4 linked regions of the Arabidopsis thaliana genome follow. The protein of the gene in region 1 purifies or fractionates together with the protein of each later gene. This does not show direct contact. Each region holds a gene or a part of one and is shown in the gene's direction. Other genes may lie near its edges. The genes, in order: AT1G56190, MDAR1, MDHAR and MDAR6.

The links.
Region 2: the proteins of AT1G56190 (region 1) and MDAR1 fractionate together in Arabidopsis thaliana (co-fractionation; one large-scale study listed by BioGRID). This does not show direct contact.
Region 3: the proteins of AT1G56190 (region 1) and MDHAR fractionate together in Arabidopsis thaliana (co-fractionation; one large-scale study listed by BioGRID). This does not show direct contact.
Region 4: the proteins of AT1G56190 (region 1) and MDAR6 fractionate together in Arabidopsis thaliana (co-fractionation; one large-scale study listed by BioGRID). This does not show direct contact.

Annotation. Positions count from the first base shown.
Region 1 is NC_003070.9:21,026,395-21,031,213, forward strand, and holds AT1G56190 (Phosphoglycerate kinase family protein), read left to right. Parts: upstream 1-1,742; 5' UTR 1,743-2,008; coding exon 2,009-2,419; intron 2,420-2,499; coding exon 2,500-2,577; intron 2,578-2,660; coding exon 2,661-2,921; intron 2,922-3,170; coding exon 3,171-3,488; intron 3,489-3,610; coding exon 3,611-3,769; intron 3,770-3,850; coding exon 3,851-4,060; 3' UTR 4,061-4,290; downstream 4,291-4,819. Other genes in the region: AT1G56180 (ATP-dependent zinc metalloprotease), read right to left, coding at 1-4, 123-255, 337-413, 531-607, 691-939, 1,027-1,086, 1,236-1,653; EMB1303 (embryo defective 1303), read left to right, coding at 4,458-4,515, 4,698-4,819.
Region 2 is NC_003074.8:19,600,704-19,606,327, reverse strand, and holds MDAR1 (monodehydroascorbate reductase 1), read left to right. Parts: upstream 1-1,873; 5' UTR 1,874-1,961; coding exon 1,962-2,012; intron 2,013-2,333; coding exon 2,334-2,429; intron 2,430-2,589; coding exon 2,590-2,661; intron 2,662-2,788; coding exon 2,789-2,840; intron 2,841-2,945; coding exon 2,946-3,026; intron 3,027-3,187; coding exon 3,188-3,306; intron 3,307-3,397; coding exon 3,398-3,617; intron 3,618-3,696; coding exon 3,697-3,815; intron 3,816-4,006; coding exon 4,007-4,132; intron 4,133-4,226; coding exon 4,227-4,367; intron 4,368-4,527; coding exon 4,528-4,851; 3' UTR 4,852-5,115; downstream 5,116-5,624. UniProt on the Arabidopsis thaliana protein: Catalyzes the conversion of monodehydroascorbate to ascorbate, oxidizing NADH in the process.
Region 3 is NC_003074.8:3,055,843-3,060,903, reverse strand, and holds MDHAR (monodehydroascorbate reductase), read left to right. Parts: upstream 1-1,659; 5' UTR 1,660-1,800; coding exon 1,801-1,854; intron 1,855-2,344; coding exon 2,345-2,416; intron 2,417-2,696; coding exon 2,697-2,748; intron 2,749-2,834; coding exon 2,835-2,915; intron 2,916-3,002; coding exon 3,003-3,121; intron 3,122-3,206; coding exon 3,207-3,429; intron 3,430-3,515; coding exon 3,516-3,760; intron 3,761-3,845; coding exon 3,846-3,986; intron 3,987-4,064; coding exon 4,065-4,403; 3' UTR 4,404-4,529; downstream 4,530-5,061. Other genes in the region: AT3G09950 (uncharacterized protein), read left to right, coding at 272-550. UniProt on the Arabidopsis thaliana protein: Catalyzes the conversion of monodehydroascorbate to ascorbate, oxidizing NADH in the process. Required for producing sufficient ascorbate to maintain the interaction between Piriformospora indica and Arabidopsis in a mutualistic state.
Region 4 is NC_003070.9:23,728,259-23,734,501, forward strand, and holds MDAR6 (monodehydroascorbate reductase 6), read left to right. Parts: upstream 1-1,616; 5' UTR 1,617-1,836; coding exon 1,837-1,846; exon of another isoform or gene 1,847-1,936; coding exon 1,937-2,111; intron 2,112-2,188; coding exon 2,189-2,288; intron 2,289-2,380; coding exon 2,381-2,458; intron 2,459-2,657; coding exon 2,658-2,729; intron 2,730-2,879; coding exon 2,880-2,998; intron 2,999-3,112; coding exon 3,113-3,197; intron 3,198-3,318; coding exon 3,319-3,408; intron 3,409-3,568; coding exon 3,569-3,670; intron 3,671-3,782; coding exon 3,783-3,872; intron 3,873-4,003; coding exon 4,004-4,084; intron 4,085-4,214; coding exon 4,215-4,286; intron 4,287-4,369; coding exon 4,370-4,464; intron 4,465-4,556; coding exon 4,557-4,645; coding exon of another isoform or gene 4,646-4,659; exon of another isoform or gene 4,660-4,732; coding exon 4,733-4,795; intron 4,796-4,894; coding exon 4,895-4,935; intron 4,936-5,156; coding exon 5,157-5,276; 3' UTR 5,277-5,716; downstream 5,717-6,243. Other genes in the region: ROH1 (uncharacterized protein), read left to right, coding at 1-916. UniProt on the Arabidopsis thaliana protein: Catalyzes the conversion of monodehydroascorbate (MDA) to ascorbate, oxidizing NADH in the process.

The DNA of each region.
Region 1 (4,819 bases):
ACATCTGTATGATCAAACGCACAGATTCGCAATGCTTAACAATCTGTACACTTGTGCAAGAAAAGTGGAAGCACATATTATACTAGTCAAATCAGATATATATGAATTTCATTAGTCCTGACCTGAGCTACGGATAACGGTGGTTCCAGAAGGACTGAGATGCTCCTGAACAGATTTTCATCATTCTCTCCACCCTCAGCCTCACCATAAACTAGCGCTTCAGCTGCAATACCAGCAAATAGTACCATGCTATACCTAAGAGAAACTGAACCAGCATTAGGTTTGTGAATGAGAGAAAACTCAGAGGGAGAGAACAACACCTTGACTAATAATCACCTATCAAATGAGCTACCGCTAAGTCGTCCCTCAGCAATCTCACTCTCCATCTTTTGATCCCAGAATTGGGTTCCAGCCTAGAGAAACACATGATAATCCATTTATGTACTCGGTTCCATATGTAGCTAAAAGAACATAGAATCACAGCACTACAAAATAGAATAGTATAACACTAGAGTGAATCTAAATAATACCTGGCCTTGAACCCCCATTTGCATGGCAACAACCGGATCCAATATCACACCACGGATTGGGCAGCCCATGAGGTATGCTGCACGACAAATAAGCTGCAATCGTTAGCCACAAAACGAGAAAGAAATTTCATAAAAATACTAATGATCACGAATGTCTTACCAACAAGAAGATGACCAGCTTCGTGAACTACGATTCTACGCTTATGTGGAGGCCAGTAGCATGATACTTGGGCTAAGCAGGTACCACCAAGAAAAACGGAATCCAAATAAGCTAGACCCAAAATGACAGCAAGGTTTGGCCGCACATCAATCTCCTGTGAAAGAAGATAGGAGACTCCACCCAGCAAAGCAGCCAGAGCAATGCTAGAACCACCAGAAAGTCCCCACTTCTTCGGTGAAAGTTTAGTCACTAACCAATATAAACAGTAAAATAAGTTTCCATCGCCACACACTGAGTAATCAAAGATGACTGAAGAGAGAAATTTGAGCTACACACCTTCCAAGCCAGTTGCAGACTTCAGGACAGTAGGTGTTACCTCTCTTGTTCCTTCCAAAACTGCATCACAGTGATACAGAAGCAAGAAACTTATGAAACGATACAAATTAATCAGTTCAAATGCTCGCACACATAGCTAAACATTACTTTTGTACATCTATCTAAACAGAAGTTGATTTTGAAGGCGCAAAGAAGAGAAAACAGAGTACCAATACTGGTGAATTTGCCGAAGTTGGCCAAAAGACCTCTCTCCTTAAGAAACCTAAACGCACTTCCAACAAGTCTCATATCATCTGCATTCAAACACGCATCTAAAACTTGCCAATCCCTCTCCAATTCAAGAGCTCCCAAGCCGCTTAACTTAGCCGTGACAATAGATTCAACCGAATCACGCTGTTCATCATTTTCAATAGATTTGAGGAATCTAAGAGCCCCGGCGAGATCTTTTCTCTTCACAGCATCTTCGTACTCCCGCCATTCCCTGAGTGCGCTCGGCCTCCGCAACTCATGCTTCCGGACGCTACCAAAGACTAGAGACTGTACGCGTGGAACAAGGAAGCCAATTTGGCGAGAAAAAGAAGGCGAAAGAGATCTGAGACATGGAGGAGACGACGGAGATAAAGCCATTAGAGGTGCTTCTCGCCGGGATTTCCAAAATAAAATAAACGACGTTTATATTCGAAAGGACAGAAATTCATTGGGCCGAGTAAAGCCCATTTAGCTATTTAAATATTGCAAATGAGTTATTTAACTTCATTATATTTATTTTTAGAGTTGTCTTTTCCATATATGGAAGTAAACTTTTCGATCAAAAGACATGATCTTTGTGAATGTGGGCAACGATTGTAAGCAGAGGGAAGGCGAAGAATTATGATAACCTCTCATCAACGATAAGACAAAATCCATAAACTAGTAATATCATCCAATCCTCTCACTTCTTCCTTATTCCCTCACTTTCACTCTCACTATCTGTTGACTTCACATGGCTTCCACCGCCGCAACTGCAGCTCTTTCGATCATCAAATCCACCGGTGGCGCCGCCGTTACACGCTCCTCCCGCGCCTCCTTTGGACACATTCCCTCCACATCTGTCTCCGCACGTCGCCTTGGCTTCTCCGCCGTCGTTGACTCTCGTTTCTCGGTCCACGTGGCGTCCAAGGTCCACTCCGTGCGCGGAAAGGGCGCCAGGGGAGTGATTACGATGGCGAAGAAGAGTGTTGGAGATCTGAATTCTGTAGATTTGAAGGGGAAGAAGGTGTTTGTTAGAGCTGATCTCAATGTACCTCTCGATGACAACCAGAATATCACTGACGACACTAGAATCAGAGCCGCCATTCCCACCATCAAGTTTTTGATTGAGAATGGTGCTAAGGTCATCCTCTCCACTCATTTGGTATGGTTCACAGTTTACCCATCTCTCTAATCAACTCAAATCCACACAAAAGTCTTTACATTTTCATCTCTAATTTTCAGGGAAGGCCAAAGGGTGTCACTCCAAAGTTCAGCTTGGCTCCTCTTGTTCCCAGATTATCAGAGCTCCTTGGTATTGAGGTACTACCCTGATTTTCAACGGATCTGAATCTGTCATCTTGTTGTGGAAATCTCTTGAGGTTTTTGGGGTGTGAAATGTGCAGGTCGTGAAAGCTGATGATTGTATTGGTCCAGAAGTGGAAACCTTGGTGGCTTCCCTTCCTGAAGGTGGAGTTTTGCTTCTTGAGAACGTGAGGTTTTACAAGGAGGAAGAGAAGAACGAACCTGATTTTGCTAAGAAGCTTGCTTCTCTAGCTGACCTTTATGTCAACGATGCGTTCGGGACTGCTCACAGAGCCCATGCTTCAACAGAGGGAGTCACTAAGTTCTTGAAGCCATCAGTTGCTGGTTTCCTTTTGCAAAAGGTGACATTTTGATACAAGATTCTTTCTTAAATTGATTATTGAGGAATTTAGAAGCACCACAAGTGCCGCCACTATATCCTTGATCATGAAATAATTGATTGATTGCTTGTTCATCTTTGTCTTTCCATGTAAGAGGTCTAAACTCAAGGTTCAATAGGTTTCTCAACTGCAATTTGGAGGAGTCCATTGACTTGAATTGAGTTATGAGTTTGAATTGAATCACATTTGGTTATCTTATATATTTCGCAGGAGTTGGACTACCTTGTTGGTGCGGTTTCAAACCCAAAGAGACCATTTGCTGCCATTGTGGGAGGTTCCAAGGTCTCATCTAAGATTGGAGTTATCGAATCGCTTCTTGAGAAATGTGACATCCTTCTGCTTGGTGGTGGAATGATCTTTACATTCTACAAGGCGCAAGGTCTTTCCGTTGGCTCCTCCCTTGTTGAAGAAGACAAGCTTGAATTGGCTACAACACTCCTTGCCAAGGCTAAGGCCAGAGGAGTCTCTCTGTTGTTACCAACAGATGTTGTGATTGCTGACAAGTTCGCTCCTGATGCCAACAGCAAGGTTCGTCTCCAATAACTATTGCTAAAAGCTTGGCATTCTTGGTTGACAGAAAGATTGAAAAATGGTTTTGTTTTTTAAGACTGGATGTGTTGAGGGTACTGAGTGTAATGTGAATGTTGTAGATTGTGCCAGCATCAGCCATTCCTGATGGGTGGATGGGATTGGACATCGGTCCAGACTCGGTGAAAACATTCAACGAAGCTCTGGATACCACGCAGACAGTCATTTGGAATGGACCAATGGGAGTTTTCGAGTTTGAAAAGTTTGCAAAAGGAACTGAGGTGCATATAATTCTCTGACTCTTATATACTGTTAGTTGACTCTTTGTTGGAACTAATATGTAGCATGGTTGAATGGCGCAGGCGGTAGCGAATAAACTAGCAGAGCTAAGCAAAAAGGGAGTGACAACGATAATAGGAGGAGGAGACTCGGTGGCAGCAGTGGAGAAAGTGGGAGTAGCAGGAGTCATGAGTCACATCTCCACAGGTGGTGGTGCCAGTTTGGAGCTCTTGGAAGGCAAAGTGCTTCCCGGTGTCGTCGCTCTTGATGAAGCAACGCCAGTCACTGTTTAACAACATCTCTTTATTACACCTGAAGGGACCCCCCTAAATGAGTTTCTTCTTCTTATTCTGTTGTAAATCAAAGTCTTTGTTGTACCATCAAATCCATAGAGAGGAGGGACTCTTTTTGTCTCAAATAAAATCAAATACAGTGACATTCGTTATTTTGAGCAAAACATCAATCAACTGCTCGAAATCATTTTAACCTTGAGAATAGTTTCATCCTCAAAATAAATTTTCAAGAAAATACGAGGACTCGAAACGAAAAAGGATGTAAATATTCCCACGTGCCGTTTCATTATTGGCTGCAAGTTGCCAAAAGTATACATACGCGCAGGTGAAATGGATTTATCTATCTCTAAAGTTGTTCCTTCTTCTCTCCTTCGTCTCCCGTCAAGCTGCTTTAGCCATGGCTATGGCGGCGTCTATTATCCAATCTTCTCCGCTCTCCTTCAATAGCAACAACGGTACGCTTTCTTTCTCACTCTATTAGCTCGCCGTATATTTCCTTATGCTCTGGCTCTGGGTTACGTTTTTTTTTATCCCTAGGGATTTTAAAGATGAGGTATCAAAATTTGGTGTTGATTGAAACTTTTTACCGATCATTTTTTGGACCAAGAGTGTAAACCTAGCTTTTTGTTTGATATAGCAAAGCCACGGATTCATAGTTCAGGATCGCTCGGCGGAATCAAAAGCCAAAATAGAGTCTCTCCATTGAGTGCGGTTGGATTAAGCTCAGGCCTTGGAAGTAGAAGGAAATCTCTTTTGATA
Region 2 (5,624 bases), on another chromosome or scaffold:
AATTACAAATATCTCAAATAAAAACTAAAAACCATTATTGCTTCATTAGCCACCCAAGACAAATGAATTAAAAAAATAAGAAAGAATGAACTAGAATCTAATAGAAGATGCATAGGAAAAATCAAATAGAGTCTAATGGAAAATGCATAGGAAAAATCAAATAATATACAACCGTAACCATAAGATCAAGAAACATAACTTAATGATACATGATCGAGATTAATAACAACAAAGTACTTTTGAATCTGGCAAAAAAGCCTAAATCATACAGTTGGAACGTGGTGTTAGGAAATAATAGAGACTTGATAGGTCTTTGAGAACCCTTTGAGCCTAGGATTCCTCTTTCTGCGCCTTTAATCTCTTCCCTCATGCTTTTAATCCCCATTAAATATATTGTAAACACTAAACTAACACAAAAATTAGATGTGTTACGTCCGCTTCTGATTTCTTATTTAACTTAAACCAACCATCAACATCAAAAGATTTTATTATACAAACATATGCATGCGCATATTTAAATATATCAATGGTCCTGCTAATTATTTTATTCGATTTTTAAAAATATTTTGCATCTTTTCAAGAAAAACGATTGATGGAACCCAGATTTTTTCGTTTAAGATCAATTTGAACCATCATTCAATTTTATTTTTTAAAATGTGAATTTTCATTAATAGTGTACAAAATACAAAAAGTACCCATACTTTTATATATATTAATTTAAAAAATAAATTATTTTCGCGGTGTACCGCGGATTAAACTCTATTATATATATATATATATACTTATTTTTGTATCTCAAACATTTATACCAAGTTATGATGCAATGACTGCACTAATACTATGAGCCACTAGATTAAATGTCTTTGTCGCAATATTTCATGATGTGTATATATAAAATTTAGGTATGGATGTTTATAATTATTGCGTGGACGGCGAACAAGAAACAACGGTGCACAACGACAAATGATTCGAGTTATGTATATTCTTGATAACTACTATTAAACAAAACAATATCAATAAGAACTAAGATCTGAGAAATGAGAATCCGAGGAAGATGAGATATATAGGGTAATCAAATTAGATTTGGTAAAAGAAAAAAATAAAAAGAAAGAGAACAAGCTAGAGAATAAGGCAACAAGTATAGGTTTCACATGTTTGTGTCGACAGGCCACACCCCCATAAAAGGCTTGCTTGGCTTTTTTGTCATTGTATGCATCTAATCCACTCCACCAATTTTTTCTCCTTCACTTATTAATTCGATTTTTTAGCTATACACAGTATTTTGAAATTTGAACAATTAAAAATAAAAATGAGCATTCATCCAAATGGGTTATTGTGACTGCCTATAGTCTTGGATGGGAATGTGTAAATTTTAGTTCCTTCAAAGATTGATACTTATTACGTACAGATTGTAGTAATAAACCTATTTACAAATATAATTGCTGATAAATCAAAATTTATGGTTGTTTTAGTCGAATTGTTAATCATGTGATGGTCAAATGGGTTATCATGTGGGTCGAAGGACTAAGCTTCATGTTTCTTGAATTTTGTTATTTTGGGCCTTAAGAGGTCAGGAAAAGAAGCCCAATAATCTAAAACCCATCATTTGTGGACTTTTCCACAACTTATCCAATAACGTGGCACATTTGTGACTTTTCCACCAACTATTTTTCGGGTTAATTAAAAAAGACTTAAGAATCAATCAGTCCTTTATTTCCGTCCTTAATTCTTTTTACTTTCCACATATAGCATGAACCACGACGGTTGGATAAATTCAACGGTCACAATATTGCCACGTGTAAGCTTTGTATCTACATCCTCCAATCAACGGCCAAGTCTTGGTTAAGTTTTAGCCAATTAGAGTCACTCAGCTCATATTAGCCTTTTTGCTCTTTCTTTGCTTCTCTAACAAACCAACTTCAGCGACAAGATAACAAAACGCTTTCACACGATCGGATAAAATGGCGGAGAAGAGCTTTAAGTACATCATCCTCGGCGGCGGCGTCTCTGCCGTGAGTATCTTCCTTCCTCCTTAAGTTTTTTCAGCCATTGCTTTCGATTTTCGAAGAGCTTGATTCGATTTGTGTTGCGAAATGCCACAATTCTCGTAGTTTTTTTGGCTTGGAGTTTGTTATTGTTAATCAGATAGCGATTACGATGATTATAGATTGTGATTCATAGATTTAAACGTCAGATCGGCGGCTCTGCTTCTAGTTTCTAGTATCGTTGAGATGAATTTACAATCGAAACTTGATTTTGAATCAAACAATCGTATGTTGATTGATTGTTTTTTCGACGTAAAACATGGATGTAATCTGGTTTCCTCTGCACAGAGCATCTTAAAAACTTCCGATTCAGTTCTAGTTCTTTTGTTGTTGTTAAGTGTGAGAAAAGTGTATCTCTGCAAAATCACTTGCAGATGGTTAATAGTAAGCATAGTATCATCAGGATCCTCTTTAGTTTATACTAGCTCAGATTAATCGTATAGTCACAGATGTTAATGAAGAAAATTCCAAAGAAATAACTAAATACAGAAGCAAATTCAACTCTTAACCTTTGTTGTATCCTTTTCTCCATTTTTGTGTGTAGGGATACGCAGCTAAGGAGTTTGCCAATCAAGGGGTTCAACCAGGAGAATTGGCTGTTATCTCGAAAGAGGCGGTAAGCTTCCTCTCGATTTGGAAAACTGTGATTATGCAGTGTGTCTTGTAACCTATGATATGATGATCCTTATGTGGACTTGTCTTCTCTAATCCTCACACCTTATTTACTCTATATGGTGGCTTAGGTGGCTCCATATGAACGCCCTGCACTTAGCAAGGGGTATTTGTTTCCTGAAGGTAAGACAATTTTCTACTTTACTTTGCTAACTACAACGTTTAATTTTGATTTGCTGAAACTTGGCTTTGGTTTATGCTTTTTATGATAATCTTTTTTTGTTGCAGGGGCTGCTAGACTTCCAGGTTTCCATTGCTGTGTTGGTAGTGGTGGAGAAAAACTGCTTCCTGAATCCTACAAGCAGAAAGGTAATGAACTGTCTGCAACATCACCAATATCAATGCCCTGCTCATCTGTGTAGTCCCACTGATCTATTATAACATTACATTACTCTCTATACAAGCTTAATTACTTATGTTATTGGAACTAAATCGTGCTATGATTTTTTTGTTATCCATTGTGTTTGTAGGAATTGAGTTGATACTAAGCACAGAAATAGTGAAAGCTGATCTCTCTGCCAAGAGTCTTGTCAGTGCAACTGGGGATGTCTTCAAGTATCAGACGCTCATAATTGCAACTGGTTCTACTGTAAAGACTGATATACTTGCATTTCTCACATCAGAATGCTTCTTATGAATTCTATTACAAGAAGAAAGTAACTCTTTACCTTCCTTTGCAGGTTCTCAGATTGACTGATTTTGGAGTAAAAGGTGCAGACTCTAAGAATATCCTCTATCTGAGAGAGATTGATGATGCCGACAAATTGGTTGAAGCAATTAAAGCTAAGAAAGGTGGAAAGGCTGTAGTTGTTGGCGGAGGTTACATTGGTCTTGAGCTTAGTGCAGTTTTAAGGATCAACAATTTAGATGTCACTATGGTTTTCCCTGAACCTTGGTGCAGTAAGTTGACTAGTATCCTTTTGCTATTCATGTAATATATGACATTGTTACACGTAATGAAAACAAAATGTTGACGCAGTGCCTAGGCTTTTCACCGCCGATATTGCTGCTTTCTATGAGACTTACTATACAAACAAGGGAGTGAAGATCATTAAAGGAACAGTGGCATCTGGGTTCACAGCTCAGCCAAATGGAGAGGTAATCAAAGAAACATTAGCTAATAGAGTGGGCAATCCAATTTAAGTTTTGGTTTGATTTTATAGAAACTAAAGTCTAAAACCAAATTACAATGTTATGTTTAGGTTTGGTTTCGTTTGACGAACTCGATTAATTAGCTTTTCCAAATGGTCTCGTTGCAAATGTCTTACTTGTATTATATAATCCTCCAGGTGAAGGAAGTACAACTCAAGGATGGGAGGACATTGGAAGCCGACATTGTGATAGTTGGGGTTGGTGCAAAACCATTGACATCCTTATTCAAGGGACAGGTCGAGGAAGATAAAGGTGGAATTAAGGTATTTATCTGCTGCCTGTGCGTCTCTTCTTCTTCTTATCCCGTACCATTCTGATTTGGATCTTTTAAATTGACTGCTTAACTGTTTCACACAGACCGATGCATTCTTCAAAACAAGTGTTCCAGATGTTTACGCTGTTGGTGACGTTGCTACTTTCCCTTTGAAAATGTACGGAGACGTGAGAAGGGTCGAGCATGTTGACCATTCCCGCAAATCAGCAGAGCAAGCTGTTAAGGTAAATAATGCTTACAATATGGCTGATATCGCTACACCAAAACCCTATTAATCCATACCATAAAAAATGCAACGCAAACTCTTGAGGCCTAAATCTTATAGATTAACATACAGTTGTATATATCTGATGAAGCGTTTATATATGTGATACATTGTGGCAGGCGATCAAAGCGGCTGAGGGAGGCGCAGCGGTGGAGGAATACGACTATCTTCCATTCTTCTACTCTCGCTCCTTTGATCTCTCATGGCAGTTCTACGGAGACAACGTAGGAGACTCTGTGTTATTTGGAGACAGCAATCCATCAAACCCAAAACCAAGATTTGGAGCATATTGGGTTCAAGGTGGTAAAGTGGTTGGAGCATTCATGGAGGGAGGTAGTGGTGATGAGAACAAAGCCTTGGCTAAAGTCGCCAAAGCTCGACCTTCTGCAGAGAGTCTCGACGAGCTCGTGAAACAAGGAATTTCCTTCGCAGCTAAGATCTGAGTGAAACACAACCACCAAAACAAACTCACGTTTTCTCTTCTATGTTAAAATAAAAACTTGTTTAGCTATAATAAGTTGTGTGTTTGTATTGTCTCTCTAAACTCCATGAGAAGAGTCTACGGCAGAGGAAACCCTGAACCACATTCACATTTTAGATCATGTGTTTGGTTTTCTGTGTTTCAGTATCTGTCTTGGTTTCTTAATGTGAACAACTCCAAAACCACATTTACTGTAATCTCAAATGAAGGGAGTAATTTACAATATGAAAGCAAATGGGCCTTGAAATAGTAATTCGTAGACTCTAATGGGCATTGGACGACCCTTGAAATGTCAATTCGATCTTTAATTGGACATCTCTCATTGTTCCATGTCCTCGGCTCGACTAGGTTTTCTTAGAATTAGTTTTGATATATACACAAACCGAAGAAAACTTGAAAATTTTGAGTTAGAAATTCATAAATTTAACATGATATTAGTCCCTTTTGCTAGTGATAATCAAATTTATTTCCAGTCGTAGAGTGGAATTCAGTTAAATCTACTCATTCTAAATATATTAGTTAGGAATAATGTTATTTATAATGTGGGATTGTGAAAGCAAATATTGATTAATGTGAATGAAAAGATGAAATACTATGAGCGTCAGATTCGCTTTTTGGATTTTCTCTTTTTGTTGGTTAAAGATTGAACAAAAACTTAGCAAAAATTGAACTGCATTTAAGTTATTTTCTTTGTTCGATTTTGTTAGTAATTCTTTTGGTTTAGTTTTAAATAGT
Region 3 (5,061 bases), on another chromosome or scaffold:
TTTTGATAAAAGCTCTTCCCCTTTGTGGTATTGTTCTTAATTACGATAAATATCTTCAATGATTAAAACCCAATTCATTCCCCTTGTTGCTTCTTTAATCGAACTCATGAGGTGGCTTATATAAATGGTATAATTAATGTGGATTAAAATTGTACCCTTTAATTCATGTAATGTGTCATTTCCGTTTCTTCACGTAATCTCACCGTAATCTCTATATATAAGCACACAAGCAACACAATCGATCATAAACCAAAAAAAACGAGAGAGAGAGATGGGGAAGGGGGGTTGGCTTCTTAACTTTCTGAACCATGCCAAAAATCAAGAAAGTGTGGAGAATCTTGACAAAAACGGTGCCGTAAAGGCCCCAAGCAGTGGGTTTAAGATGCCGTTGCATTACCCAAGATACACAAAGGAGGATTATGAAGAGATGGAAGAGTGGAGATTGGATTTGCTTCTCTCGGAATACGGACTTCTTGCCTTCCATGACAATACTCTCCATGAGAAGCGAGCTTTTGCAATCGACACTTTTATATGGCCTCATCACCCATAATTTCATCTCCTTCATTTATCTTGTTTATATTTCTTAAGAGTAACGGAGATTGTAGAGATACAACATTGGAAGAGATGACAAAAACCGGGATATCAATCTACCGGATATATATGTCACAAAAAGATTTTAGTATATTTTTAGTAATTTGATTTCTACTATATTCTTTAGTTTTCATTAGATCTCTTTATGTTATGTTATCTATATAAGTTTGGCTTTGGATTTTGCATATATTAACCTTTCCGTTCAATAAAATATAGTTTTACCGCTTCTTATGGTATCAAAGCCTTCATCCAAAACTTACTCAAATGAGATTGACTCTCATGTTAAAACAGAGAAAAACAGAGAAAAAACAAAAGATCATTAAAGTCACTATATAAACATCATGATTCATCTCCATCTCCACCCTTAATTTCTTTACTAGTCCGTTCGTTCTCGCCACTATTGTTGTCCGTGATTGTACTTCTTCATAAGCATCACTGAGGAAGCAAATTCTAAAACAATAGTATCTTTTAACAATCATAAAGTAAAACAGTTTTTTTTTTTTTGTTCTTATATATATACTACTTATTACACATTTAAACTTTGGTTTTGAACAGTGAAAATGTTGCTTGCAATTTTTTTAACTTTGTAGAAATCAGGCAAGTTCTTAAGTTGACAAATGACATATACTAGTAATTTTCACGAACGTTATCCCACTAAAGTAGTCATACCCAAAACAAAATTGTTTAAATAAAAGTAACTTAATTATATCATTGAGATTCGAGTGAATAATGCCAATGAAATTTAATATTCATTATCTGACACTCTGAAACTATGATTAACTACATAATTATTTAATTTAACGTTTGTACCAGCTAATAGTATACACGTTTTTATGACAAACATTTTTGAATTTTTTGAGTTAAAAAATAATAATGGTTTTCGTCGTAATAGGAGAGGACAGACAATTCCAACGTGATATGTACGTTTATCATGTTACTTAGTCAGCAGATCATTTCTTCGGATTATATAATAGCTATTTAGAAACATTAAAGGTGTGGATTATATTATAGTCAAGTCTTTCCAATATGAATATTATATCATCCACCAATACATAATTATTGTCAAATACAAGTTGAGTCAGATTAGTCAAATACAGGCAACCAAGACTCGAGATCCTCATCGTCTCTCCACTTTATATAAACCCCAAGTCAGTACTTCTCATAATATACCAAAAACGAAACTGAGAAAGAAGTTTTATTTATTAATTAATGGCGGAAGAGAAAAGCTACAAGTACGTGATCATTGGAGGTGGTGTAGCCGGCGTAAGTAAATGCATTTTCAATTTTGAACTTTTCTTTTGACAACAACATATCTTTTATCAAGTTTAAATTCGATTGTAACACAACAACAACAACAACAATAACACTAATACAAACCAGTAAATTACATGTTTTGCCCAACATTTTTATCAACTCGCATTGTTCAGTTTTGTAGATGATGAGACTTTTTTTGTTGACTCTGTTTTTTTTTTGTTTTTTTTTTTGGCTTAAGAATCATTGTTCAGTTTGTGTTCATTCTTTGCTTACAAATCATCGCTTATTTCGCATCCGTGCTTTGCTTACGAATTCCTTTCTCTAACTCTCTGTTATTTTACTCTCACTTTTACATGTAAATCCCTTTATGCTTATTAAGTTATTATACACAAGAAATTGTTTATGATTTTCTTCTATTAAATGTTATTCATGTAACGAATACGCATCTCTCTGAATTGACTTTTTTTTTTTTTTTTTTTTGGGCATTTCGGAATCACAGGGTTACGCGGCGAGAGAGTTTAGTAATCAGGGCCTGAAGCCTGGTGAACTCGCAATCATTTCCAAGGAACCAGTACGTTTTTTCACTCTTATGACTTATGAGCGTTTGCATGTTACAATTTGGTGTTTTGCTTTTCCAAATAATAATACCACTACTTTTTTTGTTTGCAAACGTCAATTGAAAACACAAATACAAGCGCAAACTCTGGTTGCATTTGCATTTGCGTCTCAAGTTTATGAAAACTATTTTTAGAAAGTCGAAATAATTAAAGCCATCCTTAATATTTGATTGTCTAGTCTGAAAATTGATGTTGAAGTCCATAACCATGTTTTTTTTGTGTGTGTGTCAATAGGTGCCTCCTTTTGAGCGTCCTGAACTAACCAAGGTATATATTGACCTCGAAGGTAAACCTTTTAACTCTAAAACATCTCTGTCAATGGATATATTTTAATTGCTATCGGATTTTGGTTAACTTTGATCATCATTACAGTCAATCCGACCCTTGCAAATATCTATGTTTGTGCTGGAACTGGAGAAGCGAAGCAGTACCCTAACTGGTACAAAGAGAAAGGTAATGTTTTGTTTATGTCTTCTCCGAGAAATCTCTGTGATTTCACTTGCAATATATTTGGTGATCTGAGATATTCAAATTTTACAGGGATTGATCTAATTGTGGGCACAGAGATAGTCAAAGCAGATCTTGCTTCAAAGACACTTGTTAGTGATGATGGCAAAATTTACAAGTACCAAACTTTGCTAATTGCAACCGGTTCTACTGTGAGTAAAATACTTATGATCTCTTCCTCTCTCTTTCTGTTCTTTGTTCTTAGTTCATCTCGAGAAACTCTAATATTTTTTGCAGAACATAAGATTGTCAGAAATTGGCGTCCAAGAAGCAGATGTTAAGAATATATTCTACCTAAGAGAAATCGAGGATAGTGATGAGCTTGCCTTGGCTATGGAACTATATGTGCAAAGGGGAAAGGCCGTCATCATTGGCGGCGGTTTCTTAGGGCTTGAGATAAGTTCTGCTCTAAGGGCTAATAATCATGAAGTGACCATGGTTTTTCCAGAACCTTGGCTTGGTAAGTTGATACTTAACAAAAAACATTTTAGCTAAATAATTACACTGTATTCGTAACAGATTTTCCTCTGTTTTATCGTTGTATAGTACACCGGTTTTTCACCGCTGAGATAGCTTCATTCTATGAGAGTTACTATGCCAACAAGGGAATCAAAATCATCAAGGGAACTGTAGCAACTGGATTTAGCACCAACTCAGATGGAGAGGTCACTGAGGTGAAACTAGAGGATGGAAGAACCCTAGAAGCTAACATAGTTGTCGCTGGTGTCGGTGCTAGACCGGCCACCTCACTCTTCAAAGGCCAACTTGAAGAGGAGAAGGGTGGAATAAAGGTTTATGATTTACCCTACCGGCGAAAAACAGAGCTCTTGTCAATTACCATAATTAGTGATTAATGATTATTCGTTTTGATTGTAGACTGATGGGTTCTTCAAAACAAGTGTGCCTGATGTATACGCACTTGGAGATGTAGCCACATTCCCAATGAAAATGTATGGCGGGACGAGGCGTGTTGAACACGCCGACAATGCTCGCAAATCTGCTGCACAAGCAGTCAAAGTACGAGCATTTACTAGCTTGATTCTATAGTCGAATATACCAAACTCTTCTATATATACTAATGATGGTGTTTTGCAGGCAATCAAAGCGGGTGAAGAAGGGAAAACGATCCCAGATTACGATTATCTTCCCTATTTCTACTCTCGATTTTTCAAACTATCGTGGGAATTCTATGGGGAAAACGTTGGAGAATCTGTACTGTTTGGAGATAATGACCCGAAATCTCCAAAGCCAAAGTTTGGGACGTATTGGGTTAAAGATGGGAAAGTAGTAGGAGTGTTCCTAGAAGGAGGTACTCAAGAGGAACACAAGGCTATTGCTAAAGTGGCACGAGCACAACCTTCCGTTGAGAGTCTTGACGTGTTATCCGAGGAAGGCCTTTCTTTCGCCACCAAGTTCTATAGCACCTCTCTTTGAGACATTGGGTCTTGTTTAGTCACATTGATGTAATAATCTCCTTTGTCTTTGATTTCATATCGAGCCCCTATTGTATTTCGAAAAATAAATTAAATATAATAATGCATTTTGTTTGGATTATCAAAACATTGGATTTTAAGTTCTTTCATTCGTCATGATAGACATTCAGTTTTGGATGCACATGAACACATGGCATTGGTCATGCTTTTGATGACACTTTGAGTCAGACCAAAATTGTCACATTTTAAAAAAAAAGTCAAAACACAACTGAAACTTTAAATTTTTTGAGAATCAACTATCAATTACACACATAATTCAACGTCAATTTAATTCATAAGTAATATAACACATGTACTACCAAATCACACCCAATATTCGCTAACTTTTTTTTTTAACAACAGAATCGTGCTTCTCACGAGATGCCTTCTCGAATTATCCCATGTCACGGAAGTTGATATCATCTCAATCTTCGAAACCCTAATCTCCTGCTTTATCAAAACCCAGGAAATGCTTATCTCTCTCCAAGCCCCACCAATCTCAAACCCTCGGCAAGATCTCCACTTTCAACCCTTCCTCTGCCCACACCCTAGCCACGTAGATATTCGTCACTGTCGGGTAAAAAATCGCCAACGCTTCGATCGTCTCCTCTGTCGTATGA
Region 4 (6,243 bases), 2.7 Mb from region 1:
CCGGTTAGTTCCTGAAATGTTAGACCGGTCGATTAAAGCGCTTGACATTTGTACCGCCGTTGTTAACGGTATCGATTCCGTTAGACATTACCAGCGTTTAGCTGAGATTGCTGTGACGGCTTTGGAGCAACGTCCGTTAGGTGACGGTAACGTGAGGAGAGCTAAACGCGCGTTGGCGAATCTCGTCGTCGCGTTGAGTCTCGAGGATAAAGAGAATGTTAGCGGCGGAGGTGGTGGCGGCGGCGGAGGGAATAAGACGACGGAGAGATCGTGGTCGTTTGGTCGTCGAAGCGGTGGATCATCGGCGGCGAGTAAAGGAGGAGCAACGATTGGTCAGCTCAAATCGTCGTCGTGGGCGGTTGGGAGAAATTGGTCGGCGGCGAAGCAGATCCACGCAATGACAGCGAATCTTACGCCGCCACGTGGTAACGAAGCGGCGGGATTGCCTCAACCAATGTTTATAATGAGTACGGTGATGGTTTTCGTAATGTGGGTGCTAACGGCGGCGGTTCCGTGTCAGGAGAGATCAGGATTAGCGAATCATTTACCAGTGCCGCCGAAACATTTGAATTGGGCTCAGAGTTTGATCGGAATCCATGAGAAAATCGGAGATGAGTGGAAGAAGAAAGAGAAGAAAGGATCTGCTGGATTGATGGAGGAGATGACGAGGATGGAGAAGCTAGGTCACTCGTTGATGGAATTCGCAGATGGATTTCATTATCCGGCGGAGAAAGATGCTGCTGAATCTGCGGCGGTGCAAGTGGCGGAGATGGCGGAGATATGCAGGAGAATGGAGGAGGAGCTTGTGCCGTTACAGCAACAGATCAGAGAAGTTTTTCATAGGATCGTGAGGAGTCGTGCGGAGATTCTCGAGGTGTTGGAGCAAGCCGGGAAAGTTTCGGCGCCAGTTGTGTAAAAGTTTTGAATTATTGGGAATCAATTTCGAAGTTTTGTAATTCTTTGGGGGCTAATAGGATATTTTATTTTCTTGGTTTCGTCTATTGTTGTTTTTCTATTTATGGTTGGGCTTTTAGAACTCTGGACAGGCCCATGTCATATGTTTTCCCTTCTCCTTATATTTTTCATTTTTCATTTTGTTAAATTAATGCATAATATCCAAAAACAATTTAAATTTTTGAAGGAACCCTTTAGTTACGGCTCCGAAGCTTTCACAAGTGAGAATGTGAGATCAAAGAAGGCAAATGGAGGATTTTAAAAGTTAAAATCATCTTTTATCTGCAAAAGTTGACAATTTTTTTGTATCAAATCTAAATCATCAAACTCTCTTAAACTACAAGAGCATAACAACCTCTATGTAATCCATGAAATAATCTGCTTGAAGGACATAACATAAATCATTATGGCTAGAGTGACTAACTTCAATCAAATCCTCTTAACTCTAGCTCCCTTACAATGGTATCGTAAAACATTATGCATTAGGGATTGTTGTCCTAGGAAAATAAAATAAAAATCCCCACAGACCAACTACCATTTTAACTTAAAAATAAGCTTCGTCCGCGACGAATTGTTTTCCATCCTAAAAATAGAATGGTGTAATCTGCTAATGGTTTAGTTCCATTAACTTGCAAGTTCTATTGAAAGCCTAAATGTCAATAAAGATATTAAAATTCGGAGTCAAAAGACAAATGAATCAAAAGCAACAAGACAAGTCAGCTCCATTCTTCACTACCCATCTTTTACAATAAATCATCTCTCTTTTCACAAATTTCAAACTACTCTCATTGCCCTTTAGCTTTGTTATAGAGCCAACACTACAGAGAGACTCACACACTTGTTTCAATAATTAAATCTGAATTTGGCTCTTCTTATAAACTAATGTCTGCAGGTCTTCTTATCTCTCTCACTCACCACCATCTTCTTCCTCGATTGTCAAAACCCTAGATCGAAATCTTATCTCTCTAATCTGTTGTTACAGTTCGTAGAGTCATGGCGTTAGCATCAACCACGTTGCCGACGAAGTCCGGATTATCTCTTTGGTGTCCGTCTTCTCCGTCTCTCGCTCGCCGATTTCCCGCTCGTTTTTCTCCGATCGGTTCTAGAATCGCTTCCAGAAGCCTCGTCACTGCTTCGTTCGCTAACGAGAATCGCGAGTTCGTATATATAATTCTTCCAATTTTGATTCTGGCGTTGATGAATTTCTATGCGATTGATTGTGTGATTGTGTTAGGTTTGTGATTGTTGGTGGAGGAAATGCTGCTGGTTATGCTGCTAGAACTTTTGTGGAAAATGGAATGGCTGATGGTCGGCTATGCATTGTGACCAAAGAGGTGATTCAAATCGATCCCTTAGTGTTTTCTTCATCAGTAACACTATTGGTTTTACTTTGTTTGATTGTTGGATTTGTGGTTGTTATTGTTAGGCTTACGCACCTTATGAGAGACCGGCTTTGACAAAAGCTTACTTGTTCCCACCAGAGAAGAAGCCAGCTCGTTTACCAGTAAGCTTTGCCAACTTTAATGTTTTGATTCGATCAATTTGAGTGGTTCTTTTAGTGCTATTGCTCTTAATTGGCTACATGAACATTATGGAATGAGTACCGGTAGATTGTTTACAGTGTTACGATTGTTACTGATATGAAGATTTGTATGATTTAGTTTTGTGATCTCTGTTTATATTGAGGGTGGTCGTATATGCAGGGATTTCATACTTGCGTTGGAGGTGGTGGAGAAAGGCAAACACCAGATTGGTATAAGGAGAAAGGAATTGAGGTAATTCATCTTCTGATACATAGTTTTGTTTTCTAAAATATATGAATGTAAGTGAAGTGTCTTTGGTTTGATTAACTGTACAGCTTGGAATGTACGTCGGTGAATTTGTGGTCTTCTCTTGTGTCTTACTAATGCATTTTGTTTGGACAGGTAATATATGAAGATCCAGTGGCTGGAGCTGATTTTGAAAAGCAAACACTCACCACAGACGCAGGGAAGCAGTTAAAATATGGATCTCTAATTATCGCTACAGGGTGTACAGCCTCAAGGTGAGTGAAAGTCGCATTTTTTTTGCAATGATTGATAAACAACATCAGAGAACCTAGGCCTTTTCAACCATGTATACTGATATTATGAATATTTGCTCTGGATTTTTATTGTAGGTTCCCAGATAAAATCGGTGGGCACTTGCCAGGGGTTCACTATATTCGGGAGGTTGCAGATGCTGATTCACTGATAGCATCTCTGGTAAGCTAAGGGCATTTTTACCAGTTACCAGTTTTGTCATCTTAATGCAATGTTGTAATATGCGTCATCAGAAAAATCCAAATTTCCTGGCTACAAAATAACCTTCCAATATGTGATACAGGGAAAGGCAAAGAAAATTGTCATTGTTGGTGGTGGCTACATCGGCATGGAGGTTGCTGCTGCAGCTGTTGCGTGGAATCTAGATACAACGGTTATTATCCCTTTCACTTGAATTTTTAAATTGTGCTAGAAATGAAGAATACTTCTAATCATTCGATGAGTTAAACAAATTCCTAGAAACGTTCAGATAAATTGTGGAACAGATGTACTAACTTACAGTTGCTTTTGGGCTTTCCCATGTGGAACAATAGATTGTATTCCCTGAAGATCAGCTTTTGCAAAGATTGTTCACTCCATCGCTTGCTCAGAAATATGAAGAACTGTACCGTCAAAATGGTGTTAAGTTTGTCAAGGTAAGATATCAGCACACGATCAACACCTTATACTGAAGCCTTTGCTTTCCTGCAAACCTAAGAATTTCAGAAACACAGTGTGCAAACTTGAATTTCTCTTTCTGTTGAACAGGGCGCTTCCATAAATAACTTGGAAGCAGGTTCGGATGGGCGTGTATCAGCTGTTAAGCTTGCTGATGGGTCTACAATTGAGGCAGACACGGTATAGTTGTAGCTCAGCTTCACTTTTTTCTTTCTCAAATGATGCAAATTCAACAACTTTGATCAAATGAAAACTGTGAAGGGTCAATGTAATACTGACTTTTGTACGACCTGTGTATCCTTACTTTACAGGTTGTAATTGGAATTGGAGCTAAGCCTGCTATTGGCCCCTTTGAAACTTTGGCCATGAACAAATCAATTGGAGGAATTCAGGTATTATTATTACAAAACATCCGGATTTATTTTCCAAGATAATCGGTTTTCAGAGTTAGAACTTCACAAGAAACTACATCAGTATGTTGATACAATTAAAAGTTTGATAAGAGCTCATCTTCAACCACAGGTCGATGGCTTGTTCAGGACAAGTACCCCTGGAATTTTTGCTATTGGAGATGTCGCAGCCTTCCCTTTGAAGGTACTTTGCTGCTAGATAATATATGTTAAGCCATCAATTATCTCGTGAAGTGCAAACTCATCATCTTATTGTCTGATGACCAGATATATGATAGGATGACTCGAGTTGAACATGTTGATCACGCCCGCCGCTCTGCACAACACTGTGTGAAATCACTACTCACGGCACACACTGACACGTAAGCTTCTTCCCTGGAAAGATCTGTAGACTTTGCCTGTATCCCTTAACGGATATTCACCTATTAGTTCTTGTCTTGCTCAATATTTGCAGGTACGATTATCTTCCATATTTCTACTCAAGAGTATTCGAGTATGAAGGAAGCCCAAGAAAAGTGTGGTGGCAGTTTTTCGGAGATAATGGTAAATCTATTTGACCTAAATATGACGCCATCCAATTACTCAAACAATATTTCCACTGTAGCTAAACCACTGATTCATACTGGCCAGTGGGAGAAACAGTGGAGGTTGGGAACTTTGACCCGAAAATCGCTACCTTCTGGATTGAATCTGGTAAATAATTCCTTCAGCCTTTTCTCACTTCAGTTAACCTTGCACAAATACACAGCTTAGCAAATTAACTAACTTTGATGAGTAATTATCGTAACACAGGCAGGTTGAAAGGTGTTCTAGTAGAAAGCGGATCGCCTGAGGTAAGAGTCTTTCTTAGCATCTCCCTCGTTAACATTCTGAATTAGCCAATCTTTAGAGCATCATGCTTCTTTAGATCTGCGAGACTAAAATTAGAATATTTTGGAACGGTCATTGAAACTTGACAATAGCAATTACATCAGCATGGGTTTTGTTTTCATGTAAATATGTTAACTATATGGATTTTAATTGCTTCCATTGTTATGTATATCTCTTGAAACAGGAGTTCCAGCTTCTACCAAAGCTAGCAAGAAGCCAACCACTTGTCGATAAGGCTAAACTCGCAAGCGCATCTTCAGTCGAAGAAGCTCTCGAGATTGCTCAAGCCGCTCTACAGAGTTAGAGAAGGAAACTTCATGGAGTTTTTTTAATAGCTTTTGGGTTCAGAGAAATCAACATCTTTTATTCCCGGTGAGAGTTATTCATCTTTCCATTGGAAAAATGATCTATAGAGAGCACTGTTGTCAATAATCTCCTCGAATAATTTATAACCTCTTTTTGGGATAATCATATTTTGCTCATTAGAGAGCTTTGTTTCTAATAAAATCTATGTTAGTCACTGAGATAGATAAAGATCGTTTTCTCATGATCTATGGGTTGTTTCGTGGATCATTAAAATATTTATTTATTTAGATTTCTTTTATCGACTGTAAACCATAAACGAAATTTGTATAAACAATAATGAAGACTTTGTTATAATTCACGCAAGGATTTGTTTTGCGGCACGTAATAGAGTCTTGTGGGATTGATTGCGACATGTAAAAAGGTTTTTGTAGCCTAAACGCGTTTCATACGCCATAGAAATTTATTTACTGCCTATGAGTTCTACAATTGAGAAAGTGTCAAAGTGGTTATGAATCTATGATAGGTTGGGCTTTTATGATTGGTTATGAATGTTGCAAAATCGTATAAATTTGCGGAATGGTGGGAATAACAAACTAAAAAAATCGTGATTCTGCAGAACCTTGTGGTTGGTAAATATCTATGATAGCCAAGGTTCATCATTGATAGGGGAAATCATTCGGCCAAGATGTCAAAACTGTTATAAACTCTTCTCTAACTCGATCTATATTTTAATATGACATCATTCTTGGATTAACACAAGAGACCATTGTTTTGCAAAAACAACACCCTCGGTTTTTAATGGGTGAAATATTGCAAAATGCAAACAAACGTGTAATGTTGGTAAAACTAAAAAAAACAATTGATGCCAAATCCAATAACAGAAAAAGGCATTGAATGACTCTTTCACTAATAACAAATTTGAAATTGGTATATGACTAATAAAAAAAAAGTTAGAAACAATTAGT